2 linked regions of the Arabidopsis thaliana genome follow. The protein of the gene in region 2 purifies or fractionates together with the protein of the main gene of each other region. This does not show direct contact. Each region holds a gene or a part of one and is shown on either strand. Other genes may lie near its edges.

Region 1 (4,319 bases), on a different chromosome or scaffold from region 2:
AGAAAGTTTAAAGATGGCATGGAGATGGCAAAAGCTTCATCGCAGTGGCTATGGATCTTCTTCCTTGGTTTCTGCATACTGACCATTATGCATTAGGTATGTGAGCATTGCCCTTCAAGGACTCCTTCATTAGAGTCTTGATTCTAGATGGTAGTGAAGGTAGTAGAAGAAGATGGATTTATTCTTAGTAGAATAGTATTCATCTTATCCATATATAGAGATTATATATGAGATTATTGATTAATAAAATATCATCCATGTCAATCACCTATTTTATTGTGATTGAGGTTTATCAAAATCCTAACGGAAGACATATGTCGCTTCTTTGTGTAAAAAGTGAAAATCATTGGTTGGAAAAAAATTGAAGTATTTCCAAGTGAGAAGCTTTTGTTTGTTTTGGTATTTCTAGTTTGGATTCAAACGATCGGTTGAATTCACTCAAGGTTTCGGGTTGAGTTACACGATCTGGATTGGTTAGGTTCGAAATTAAGTAAATGACAAACGGAATTGAGAGTGCGAGAGGTGGAATTTGATATTTTCAAGTAATGAAATGTAACTTAACATATCTAATGGCAAAAGCTGGTTCATATACTGGTTTCGAAAAGACAAGACAGTATGGTTGTTCTGGTAGATTTACCAACCCGGTGAAAATATGCGGTAAAGCAAACAAATCCTGCACGTCTTTTAGCTTGAACCATGGAAGAGTCTTTAGGCGACCAATTGAACTGCTCTCTCGAAGTTATCTTCAGCTGATGATACACGCTTCACAAGTATGTGTTCCGGGTGTGAAAGTTTTAGCTGGCTGCAAGAAGGATAGGTGATACAAATGAAGTTAACAAACGAGACCGACCAATGTTTTTATTAGGATTAAGGACACAGTTACTCTCGATTAACTTTTCAGTGAGTTCTACTGATTGATTGGGCAAATGATGCCTAATATAAGAGTAGATAATGAAAATTTACCTTAGGTGGCGTGAAGAAGACTTCCCGACATGAAGACTGCACACAACAAGATTTGCAAGAGTTTCTGGATCTTTAGCATCCTGCAATCACCACAAATTAGTATAAACACACTTCCCCATATACAGAAAAGCCAAGAGACAAGTGCAGTGTGAGAAATTTAGAGAGGTCCCTAGTTTCATATTGTTCCCGAGAATGCTAATGTACAGAGCAAATTTAAGGTACACAAGCCTAATTTGTAGTTACCTTGTTGAGTGCTTCAAGAAGTAGTGTTTCAGCTTCATCGAAGTTACCCATTTGCATACAGCAAACAGCTTTGCCATTCAAGATCAAGCATGTCATTGGGTACTTCTCAGAAAAATCCTCGAAAATGAGATAAGCTTCCTGTATCTTCGAACCGCCCTGAAATCAAATAACGCCTTAGCATAAGAAGCAAATACACAACTCTTTGAAAGAATAAGCCAGAACACATTGAATATTTCGCATTATACCACTGCCAGGTTCAACCAAGCGCTAGCAAGTTGAGTGAGAGTGTGGTCTTCATCAATCTGTTGCATCACTCTAAGCTGCTTCTCAGCATACTCTGCTCTATGCATCTTAATGAATATCTGAACATTCAAGGCATACCTAGAAAAACAATAGCAATGAGCCATCTAAGAACATGTTTTAAAACACAGTATAAATACTCAATCCACCAAATAAAAATCGAAAAAATCTTACAAATCCATAGTTCCTCCAGCATGAGTATGCTTCAAAGTTTCATTATAATCTTCTTCATGCATGAAAATAATACCAGCAATCAATCGTAATGTATCATTGTTTCCTATTGTTGAATCTGCTAACCATTCCTTCAAGCTTGAAATTGTTGATTCCTGAACCAATAACAATCGTTCCATATAAGCATTTGAATCTCTTTACAACATGTTTCGTGAACACGAATCAAAGCCGTAATTACCTTATTTTGAGGAGTCGATAGATACATAGCGAGGAGTTTGACTGCTTGTAGTGGAGTAGCGGCTGATTCATCGATCTCACTGATAACAAGCTTATACACACCAAAATTTGGAAGAACAGATCAAAACAAAACGTAATCGAATCTAAAGAAGAAGACATTATCGATATGATTAGAGAAGTAACCTGATAGCTACCGAGGGCGATGTAAGATCGGAAGACGAGACAGTCACGTTCCACGGCGTTTTCCGGCGAGAGGTTGGCGATCTCGCTGTTGTTGATCGCCGTTTGATAAGCTCCCAAATAGAAATTGTTTCTGAGGTTGAAGAGGTGATCTGGTCCTGCTCCCATGGCTGACATTGCTTCTTCTTCTTCTTCTTCTTCTTCTTCTTCTTCTTCTTCTTCTTCTTCTTCTTCTTCTTCTTCTTCTTCTTCTTCTTCTAGATTTCACAGCTTCGCGTCTAATTCCAAAATCCAAACGAAAGTAAACGGGTTAATAACATAATAACCCCTTAAGTTATAAACTGAATGCATAATAATCCCAGTTCTTTTTGAACTGTTCAAGTAACATCACTAATTTGATTTGGGCCTTGTGCGGCAAAATAACGAATCAGGTTCTTTGTTTGACTCCTGGGCTTTATATCTAGTTGTGTGTTGTGAGCTTTTGGTCAGTCTATGTTTTAAAATCAGAAACGTGAACAAGTTTTTTTTATATATTAAGCATATCACACACTACTCGAAATAGTATTAGACGACAGACATGGTTGAATTAGTGTACTAGATGTCTACATTTGGTAGTGTTCAAAAAAAAAAAAGATGTCAACATTTGGTTGAACGAGCTATTCTTAATTAAAAGAAAATCAATAAATTCATATTTGTTATTATCAGAATGTGTTAGGTTAGTTTTATCGGTCTAGATGATTTTGTATTACGGTGATGTTAATCGGTTGAATAGTCATTGTATATATACTTGTACAAAATACATTTACGGAAATTTAATCAGAAAATATCTTCTTCTTCATCTGTAACAAACTTTCTTATCTCTCGATCGTAATATGGTATTAGAGCCATCAAAGCTCAAATTTCTTCATAAATCATCTCATGTCGATCTAAGAAGCAACATGTTATTTCTAGATACTGAGCATTAGCTCTTGCTACTTGTGAGTTGGTTTGGTTGCATACATTGCTCGTATCTTAAACGGATACTACTTCGATTCTTATCTTGTTTTCAGACAGTACAGATGTTATCTATATTGCAATCAATTATATCTTCCATGAGAGCACGAAATATATTGAGATTGACTGCCATACCGTGCGTGACAAGTTGGATGATGGTGAGCTTAAACTGCTTCATGTTCCCACGGATGATCAAATAGCTGATATTTTGCTAAACATTTGTTCTCACATCAGTTTGAACATCTAAAGTCCAAGATGAGCATTCTCAACATTTTCGAATCCTCATATTGAGGGGTCATATCAGAGAGTGTTGATTTAATTTATCGGTTTAATTGATTTTGTATTACGCGGGTTATATTAACCGGTTGTATTGTCATCGTATATATACTTGTACAAAATACATTTACAGAAATTTAAGGGGAAAATATCTTCTTCTTCATCTGTAACAAACTTTCTCATCTCTCAATCGTAATAATTATATATAGGATATAGTTAAATAAACATAGTTCAAATTTAAATCATGTTATAATATACATATAAGAGTATGACTGTTGTTTTTGTATGAACTTGAGGAACACTTAAAGGGCATGGTCGATTTTACGTAAAGTCAATATTCATTTCACATGTTCAAAGAAGTCCTCGTGCTACACAACCCAATTAATAACATAAATCAATACTATAGTTTATCAAAAAATATCAACCTCTAAAGTCTAAATGTTCTATCAATTTGTGTACTTGTGATTCGTGCAATTCTCTGTGTAATGGGTTTAGGCTCGCTTTTAGCTGAATTAGAATAATTAATGAGTTATGGTTATCAGACATTAATTACATGCACCTTTTAAATGTAAAATGCATCTTCTTGGAATAAGCTCCTCTAGTTTGGTTCTTACTTTATGCAAATTTTGTTTTAATGAATCTCTTTTCTCAAGTAATCTATAATAAGTTTACTATTTGTAATCCCTAATAATCCAAAGGCCTTCTCACTTCTAAAAGTTATCATCATATGCATCTTTTAAATAGCATTGATGTGTCTAATCATACGTTACCAATCTAAACACACATATTCCGTGGTTAATCAGATTTATCTTTCTTTGTCAATTTAAATTCTTATATTGTTTTAAATATATCTGACTGGATAACAGATATTAAATATTACTATTTTTATAGAATCCGTTCATCAACATGCGTCACCGTAGAACGAGGGATGCATGACTTATTTTGTTTTAATTTTT
Region 2 (6,940 bases):
CGGCAACAAAGATATATCAAAACACAAATTGCAACACTAAAAATCATGTGTTTTATTGGTGCCTTATATAACAAATGAAACCTTACCCGAAAGGTTTAGCATATATGACATCCAGACAAGAGAAAACGTAATTCATCATTTTCGTTATCTAACATACAAGAATCAAAACAAGATTTCACATTAACAAAGATAAAGTGTACATAGTTGAGGAAAATAAAGGTAAAGATAAAGTGTAGACAATATTCAAAAGGGTGGTTGTCCAACAATGTTACCAGGAGGATCATAGTTACAAATAATAAATGTGTCACCGGTCTTGCAAAAACTGATTGCACACCCAATCCTCGAACTCTTCTTCCATACAAGTTGCGTGTAATGCAAACAATCCCCATTCGCCTTGCAGTGGGAAGTCCTCCGGTCATAGTATTTCATCTCCGAGGCCCATGCAGCCACCGCATCCCGTGGAGTCCAACCTTTTCCGCTTCCCCAGAAGAGATTCTCCCCGTAAGGTCCCCCGGAGTGGATAAGTTTGCAATCTCCACGGCGGGTTCTGGCCCACCGGCTCGCATAGAGGGCGAGGCTATTGCTCCATTTGAGAGGAGGGAGACGAAGCTTGGCTCGTAAGATGTTGTGTGGTCGGAGAAACTGCTGCTGAATGGTGTTGCGGGCTAGAGCTTTGTCTTGAGAAAAAATTAGTGTTGATGTTGTCGGTGTTCTGTTTGATGGGATTTGAAAAGAGAGAGAAGGAAGTGGAGTGCTGATAACTATGATAATGATGATGAATATCAGAGTTTTTTGTTCCATTGGGATGCTAAGTTAGATTTGTTTCTGAGCCTCTAGATCTAGCTAGTACGATCCTTACCATATATATATACACACACACACATAATTGTTTATGCTTTCATATTTGTACGTATATATCATCTAACGAATCTAAACACATGCTATGTTAATAATGCGCAATGACAAGTGCTAATCATTTCGGTGGAACATTGATTATTTGTAGGGAATGATTTTATTCAAACAAAGCATACATTATTGAGCTAATTAATAGATCATTATATATGAAGGAAGTTTTAATAGGATGTTTTCTTTTTTTCTTGTAAGAAGAGACTTTATCATAGCAACGAGAATATATCCCAAGCATAAAACATTATATACAAACTCATTCAAATGAAAACCTAAGTTAGATATTTAATTTGACCACTCTTAAAATACTTGTTTAGTTATAACATGTTTACTATGCAGATTTATGAGGCGTATCAGATGGTGTGCTAGAGAACGTGATACAAATTTGGATGCCTTGTTTTCAAGAAATCTTATACATTCCTTGGAGATCAATTTGTATTGTGAGGCTTATAGTCATTGAGCTTACCGTTGATTAACTAAATTTATATTATATAGAACATCAAATAGACGAAAAAAATCAATTTAGTTGACCACCGTTTGTTAGCTAGGTTATAAACTCTGACCCAAAGTGTCCTATGCTTTCAGTATTCAGTTTATTTTATAACGTGTGGGGTCGTTTTGGAAACAATTAAAACAATAGGGGCTATATTTTTCTCAAGTTCTGTTGGACTGGGCTTGTCGTTAATCAATATTTGGGCTTTTGAGGTTGACTCGCTTTTTTCCGTTCTTCGTTTTCCAAAATCAAACCCAAAAGGATTTGGAGGAGTTAATTCACCTGACGAATCCACCACCATAATATTAAGCACATTTGATCTCTCACTTCCTTGGTGCGAGTGTTTTGTTTTCCGAGATCCAAAATCTTCTCTTGGATCCAAAGCTGTGTTACTGTGGATCTCCTCCTCCTCTCTCCCTGGATCTCGTACCTTTGAGGTTTGTCTCTCTGTGTTAAACTTGCGACTCAGATTTCATAGAGATCGATCCCACTTTTGCCTTTTCCTTTGTGAAAATCTACAATGTTCAATTATTCTCTGGCGCTCTTTGTTTGATCTCGTTGAATATTGATCTGATTCCGGTAGGAAACCGATTTTCATGTTTGTGCAGCTGAGTGAGACTGCGAATTATGTAGATTTCATTGTTTGTTCATCTAATCTGGGGAGATAGATCGCATTTTTTTTTTTTTTGAATTTTGGTTGATCCGAAGCTGTTTTAACTGATTTTTCGTTTTTATGTTATTATTTTGGTCGTAGTTGTAGTACAGTGATGTGTATTGCTGGATCTGAGGATTTAGATTTGTCAATGTTTTGCATCTTTGGGTCTCTGATTGGACATTACCGAATATTCTTCTGAAATTATGATGTTTTCTCATAAACCACGGATTCGAGAATAGAGATCATGTATTCAATGTATTGAAATCCAAGCAGAGAGGTATGGATTATCGCCGATGATACTGTTGAACTTCTTGTATAGAACTTACTCTAGCACTGATGAGGACACTAGTAAGGTGCTTATATTCAGTAATTCGAACTTGAAATCGCCAGAAATATTAAAAGTTTTGATATCTTGTTTTTACTTGTGATCTATACTTCATTATGTCTTTAATCAATTGTAACAATTTTGCTCTATTCATCTTCTATTTCTTATATTAACAAAGGAACACTTGTTCGTGAATGGTTTTTCCTTTTCATTTGAGCTCACAGATTTTTTTCTCTTTCACTTTTTGTGCAGCACCGGAGAAGATGGACAAATCTAGTACCATGCTTGTTCACTATGACAAAGGGACTCCAGCAGTTGCTAATGAGATTAAAGAAGCTCTCGAAGGAAATGATGTTGAAGCTAAAGTTGATGCCATGAAGAAGGCAATTATGCTTTTGCTGAATGGTGAAACCATTCCTCAGCTTTTCATAACCATTATAAGATATGTGCTACCTTCTGAGGACCACACAATCCAAAAGCTTCTGTTGCTGTACCTGGAGCTGATTGAAAAGACTGATTCTAAGGGGAAGGTGTTACCTGAAATGATTTTGATATGCCAGAATCTTCGTAATAACCTTCAGCATCCTAATGAGTACATCCGTGGAGTGACACTGAGGTTTCTCTGCCGGATGAAGGAGACTGAAATTGTGGAGCCTTTAACTCCATCAGTGTTACAAAATCTGGAGCATCGCCATCCATTTGTTCGCAGGAATGCCATTCTGGCCATCATGTCGATATATAAGCTTCCACAAGGCGACCAACTCTTTGTGGATGCGCCTGAAATGATCGAGAAAGTTCTATCAACCGAACAAGATCCTTCTGCCAAGAGAAATGCATTTCTAATGCTCTTTACCTGTGCTGAAGAACGTGCAGTGAATTATCTTCTGAGCAATGTTGACAAGGTTTCAGACTGGAATGAATCACTTCAGATGGTGGTGCTGGAGTTGATTCGAAGTGTGTGTAAGACTAAACCAGCAGAGAAGGGGAAATATATTAAGATTATTATTTCTCTGTTAAGTGCTACTTCTTCTGCAGTTATCTATGAATGTGCTGGGACACTTGTTTCTCTCTCATCTGCCCCTACTGCGATTCGGGCTGCTGCCAACACCTACTGCCAACTTCTTCTTTCTCAGAGTGACAACAATGTGAAGCTTATTTTACTCGATCGGTTGTATGAGCTTAAGACATTGCACAGAGATATCATGGTTGAGTTGATAATAGATGTGCTCAGAGCACTCTCAAGCCCAAACCTTGATATCCGCAGGAAGACGCTTGACATTTCCCTTGACTTGATTACCCATCATAATATCAATGAGGTCGTTCAAATGTTGAAGAAAGAAGTTGTGAAGACACAGAGTGGAGAACTTGAGAAGAATGGGGAGTACAGACAAATGCTTATTCAAGCCATCCACGCTTGTGCAGTGAAGTTCCCCGAAGTTGCAAGCACAGTGGTCCACCTTCTGATGGACTTCTTGGGAGATAGCAATGTGGCTTCAGCTCTTGACGTGGTTGTTTTTGTTAGAGAGATAATAGAAACAAATCCCAAGTTAAGAGTTTCAATCATCACAAGGTTATTGGACACGTTCTATCAGATCCGAGCAGGAAAGGTCTGCCCTTGTGCCCTTTGGATAATTGGGGAGTATTGCCTATCACTTTCGGAAGTTGAGAGTGGCATTTCAACTATCACGCAATGCCTTGGCGAATTACCATTTTACTCTGTTTCTGAGGAGTCTGAGCCAACTGAGACATCAAAGAAGATTCAGCCTACCTCTTCTGCCATGGTGTCCTCTAGAAAGCCAGTGATTCTTGCTGATGGAACTTATGCTACCCAAAGCGCAGCCTCTGAAACCACATTCTCCTCACCTACAGTTGTTCAAGGATCACTGACTTCTGGAAATTTGAGAGCACTGCTACTAACTGGTGATTTTTTCCTCGGAGCAGTGGTTGCTTGCACGTTGACCAAACTTGTTCTTAGGTTAGAAGAGGTTCAGTCTTCTAAAACTGAAGTAAATAAGACAGTCACACAGGCTTTGTTGATCATGGTTTCTATGTTGCAACTTGGGCAATCTCCTGTTTCTCCACACCCTATTGATAATGATTCGTATGAGAGGATTGTGTTGTGCATAAAATTGCTTTGCCATAGGAATGATGAGATGAAAAAGATATGGTTAGAATCCTGCCGCCAGAGTTTTGTCAAGATGATTTCTGAAAAACAGCTTAGAGAGATGGAGGAACTGAAGGCGAAGACCCAAACAACGCATGCTCAACCTGATGATCTAATTGACTTCTTCCATCTAAAGAGTCGGAAGGTATTATTACTTCCTAAGCTTCCCTTTGCTTTATTGGGTTTTTTTTTCCATATGAGTTTTCCTTTTCAATCTGTTCAGTTCTGTTACGTTGGTGTCTACTTTTTCTTACAGTTCATATCCAATTTTTTTTTTCGCATTCTCAAAGAAAGTTCGAAAGTTGATAGTGGCATGTTATGTTTATTTATTTCGGTCAGTAGTTGAAATTACTGACGATAAGTTTCTTTCAGGGAATGAGTCAACTTGAGTTGGAAGACCAAGTACAAGATGACCTAAAGCGTGCAACTGGAGAATTCACCAAGGACGAGAACGATGCTAACAAACTTAACCGCATTCTTCAACTCACAGGATTCAGTGACCCAGTCTATGCTGAAGCATATGTGACGGTACACCATTATGATATTGCTCTTGAAGTTACAGTAATCAACCGAACCAAGGAAACCCTTCAGAACTTGTGCTTGGAGTTAGCAACCATGGGTGATCTCAAACTTGTTGAGCGTCCTCAGAACTACAGTCTGGCACCTGAAAGAAGCATGCAGATTAAAGCAAACATCAAGGTGTCGTCCACAGAGACGGGAGTCATATTCGGGAACATCGTCTATGAGACATCAAATGTAATGGAGCGAAACGTCGTTGTTCTTAATGACATACACATTGATATCATGGACTATATCTCCCCTGCTGTGTGTTCAGAGGTTGCTTTCAGAACTATGTGGGCAGAGTTCGAATGGGAAAACAAGGTAATTTATTGAAACCTTTTATAGTTGTACCTTCTTTTCGTATGTTTGTTGGAGTTTGGTATAACCAATTCCTGTTGTATTCTTTATGTCAGGTTGCTGTGAACACCACAATACAAAACGAAAGAGAATTCCTCGACCACATTATCAAATCTACAAACATGAAATGTCTCACTGCTCCGTAAGTGTAAATTCTTCTTTCATCCTGTAGAAACGAAAAACTCTTCTTACTAATTAATACTTCTTTACTTGCAGATCCGCAATAGAAGGCGAATGTGGATTCCTTGCAGCAAACTTATACGCAAAAAGTGTATTTGGTGAGGATGCTCTTGTGAATGTGAGTATTGAGAAGCAAACGGATGGAGCATTGAGTGGTTACATAAGGATAAGGAGCAAGACGCAAGGGATTGCCCTAAGTCTTGGGGACAAAATCACCCTCAAACAAAAGGGTAGTAGCTGAGGTTAGCTAATCTTTTCAAAACATATTCTATTTCTCGATTAATACATGTTTTAATCCTTAAACCGCAATTGGTCTAAATTTCAGTACCATACCGATGATTTCTCACAGTGGCGTGCAAAGGTAACAGGTTTAGACTACGTACGTTTCTCTTGAGCAATTATCGTTGGTTGAATCTGCTTATTATATGGAGGGAGGAGGCGTTCAAGGGTATATGTAAAAAGAGTAATTGGCTATCGTTCTTACTTAACCGGTATATTTTCTGGTATGGTACCGATGGATTTCTTCATCTCATATGGCAGTGTGTTTTTTACTGTACTAGACGATTTTGTTTTATTTGTAATGCTTTTTCTTCTATAATGTCGTTTGTTGAGGACTTTAAACCGTGAACTTTATGATATTGTAGATTTCAAAGCTACATTTGGTTTGCTCCATTTTAGAACTCGTCATTTCAGATTTGATCTCTATTCTTTTCTTTCATATGCATTTGAAGTGAACTATTCAATTGTCAAAGCTAGACTTTAATTTGCTAGTAGCTATATAATACGGGTTATGTTAGCAAGTAAGTTGTAATGAAACGCATGTATTAATATGGACCATATTCAAAATCTACAAGCCAAAGAAACCAATTGCTTCACAACCAAACCCATAACATTTGATTCTTACAGCCTTTTCTATTCTCAAGAAAACCAAGCAATAATTTTTAAGCAAAATTTAATAATCTTAAATCACTTGCCTCAAGGTACCAAGGGACGATCACATACACATTCGCGTAACTAGATATCGCTAACATCATTAGACAAGAAAATACTAGACGCGAGTAGAAGAGGAAAGATCCAAATACATCATCTTCTATCATAAAATCATCCATCTCTAACCGAAAGTTGGAGCACGTTTCAAGGAAAAACTGACATAATTCCTAATTACGCTCACTTTTAAAAGTTTGGGGTCGTTTTGGAAACAATAAAAAAGTAGGGGCTATGCTTTCTCAACTTCTATTGGACTGGGCTTGTCAACAATCAATATTTGGGCCTGCGAGGTTGACTCGCTTCTTTCCGTTC

What was found.
Region 1: the proteins of AT4G31480 (region 2) and AT2G34840 fractionate together in Arabidopsis thaliana (co-fractionation; one large-scale study listed by BioGRID). This does not show direct contact.

Annotation. Positions count from the first base shown.
Region 1 is NC_003071.7:14,700,555-14,704,873, reverse strand, and holds AT2G34840 (Coatomer epsilon subunit), read right to left. Parts: upstream 2,387-4,319; 5' UTR 2,272-2,386; coding exon 2,098-2,271; exon of another isoform or gene 2,006-2,097; coding exon 1,916-2,005; intron 1,833-1,915; coding exon 1,681-1,832; intron 1,588-1,680; coding exon 1,452-1,587; intron 1,363-1,451; coding exon 1,207-1,362; intron 1,044-1,206; coding exon 964-1,043; intron 803-963; coding exon 709-802; 3' UTR 503-708; downstream 1-502. Other genes in the region: MEE25 (NAD(P)-binding Rossmann-fold superfamily protein), read left to right, coding at 1-82. UniProt on the Arabidopsis thaliana protein: The coatomer is a cytosolic protein complex that binds to dilysine motifs and reversibly associates with Golgi non-clathrin-coated vesicles, which further mediate biosynthetic protein transport from the ER, via the Golgi up to the trans Golgi network.
Region 2 is NC_003075.7:15,261,503-15,268,442, forward strand, and holds AT4G31480 (Coatomer, beta subunit), read left to right. Parts: upstream 1-1,651; 5' UTR 1,652-2,573; coding exon 2,574-4,688; intron 4,689-4,915; coding exon 4,916-5,425; intron 5,426-5,517; coding exon 5,518-5,603; intron 5,604-5,677; coding exon 5,678-5,882; 3' UTR 5,883-5,883; intron 5,884-5,966; 3' UTR 5,967-6,389; downstream 6,390-6,940. Other genes in the region: AT4G31470 (CAP (Cysteine-rich secretory proteins, Antigen 5, and Pathogenesis-related 1 protein) superfamily protein), read right to left, coding at 244-801. UniProt on the Arabidopsis thaliana protein: The coatomer is a cytosolic protein complex that binds to dilysine motifs and reversibly associates with Golgi non-clathrin-coated vesicles, which further mediate biosynthetic protein transport from the ER, via the Golgi up to the trans Golgi network.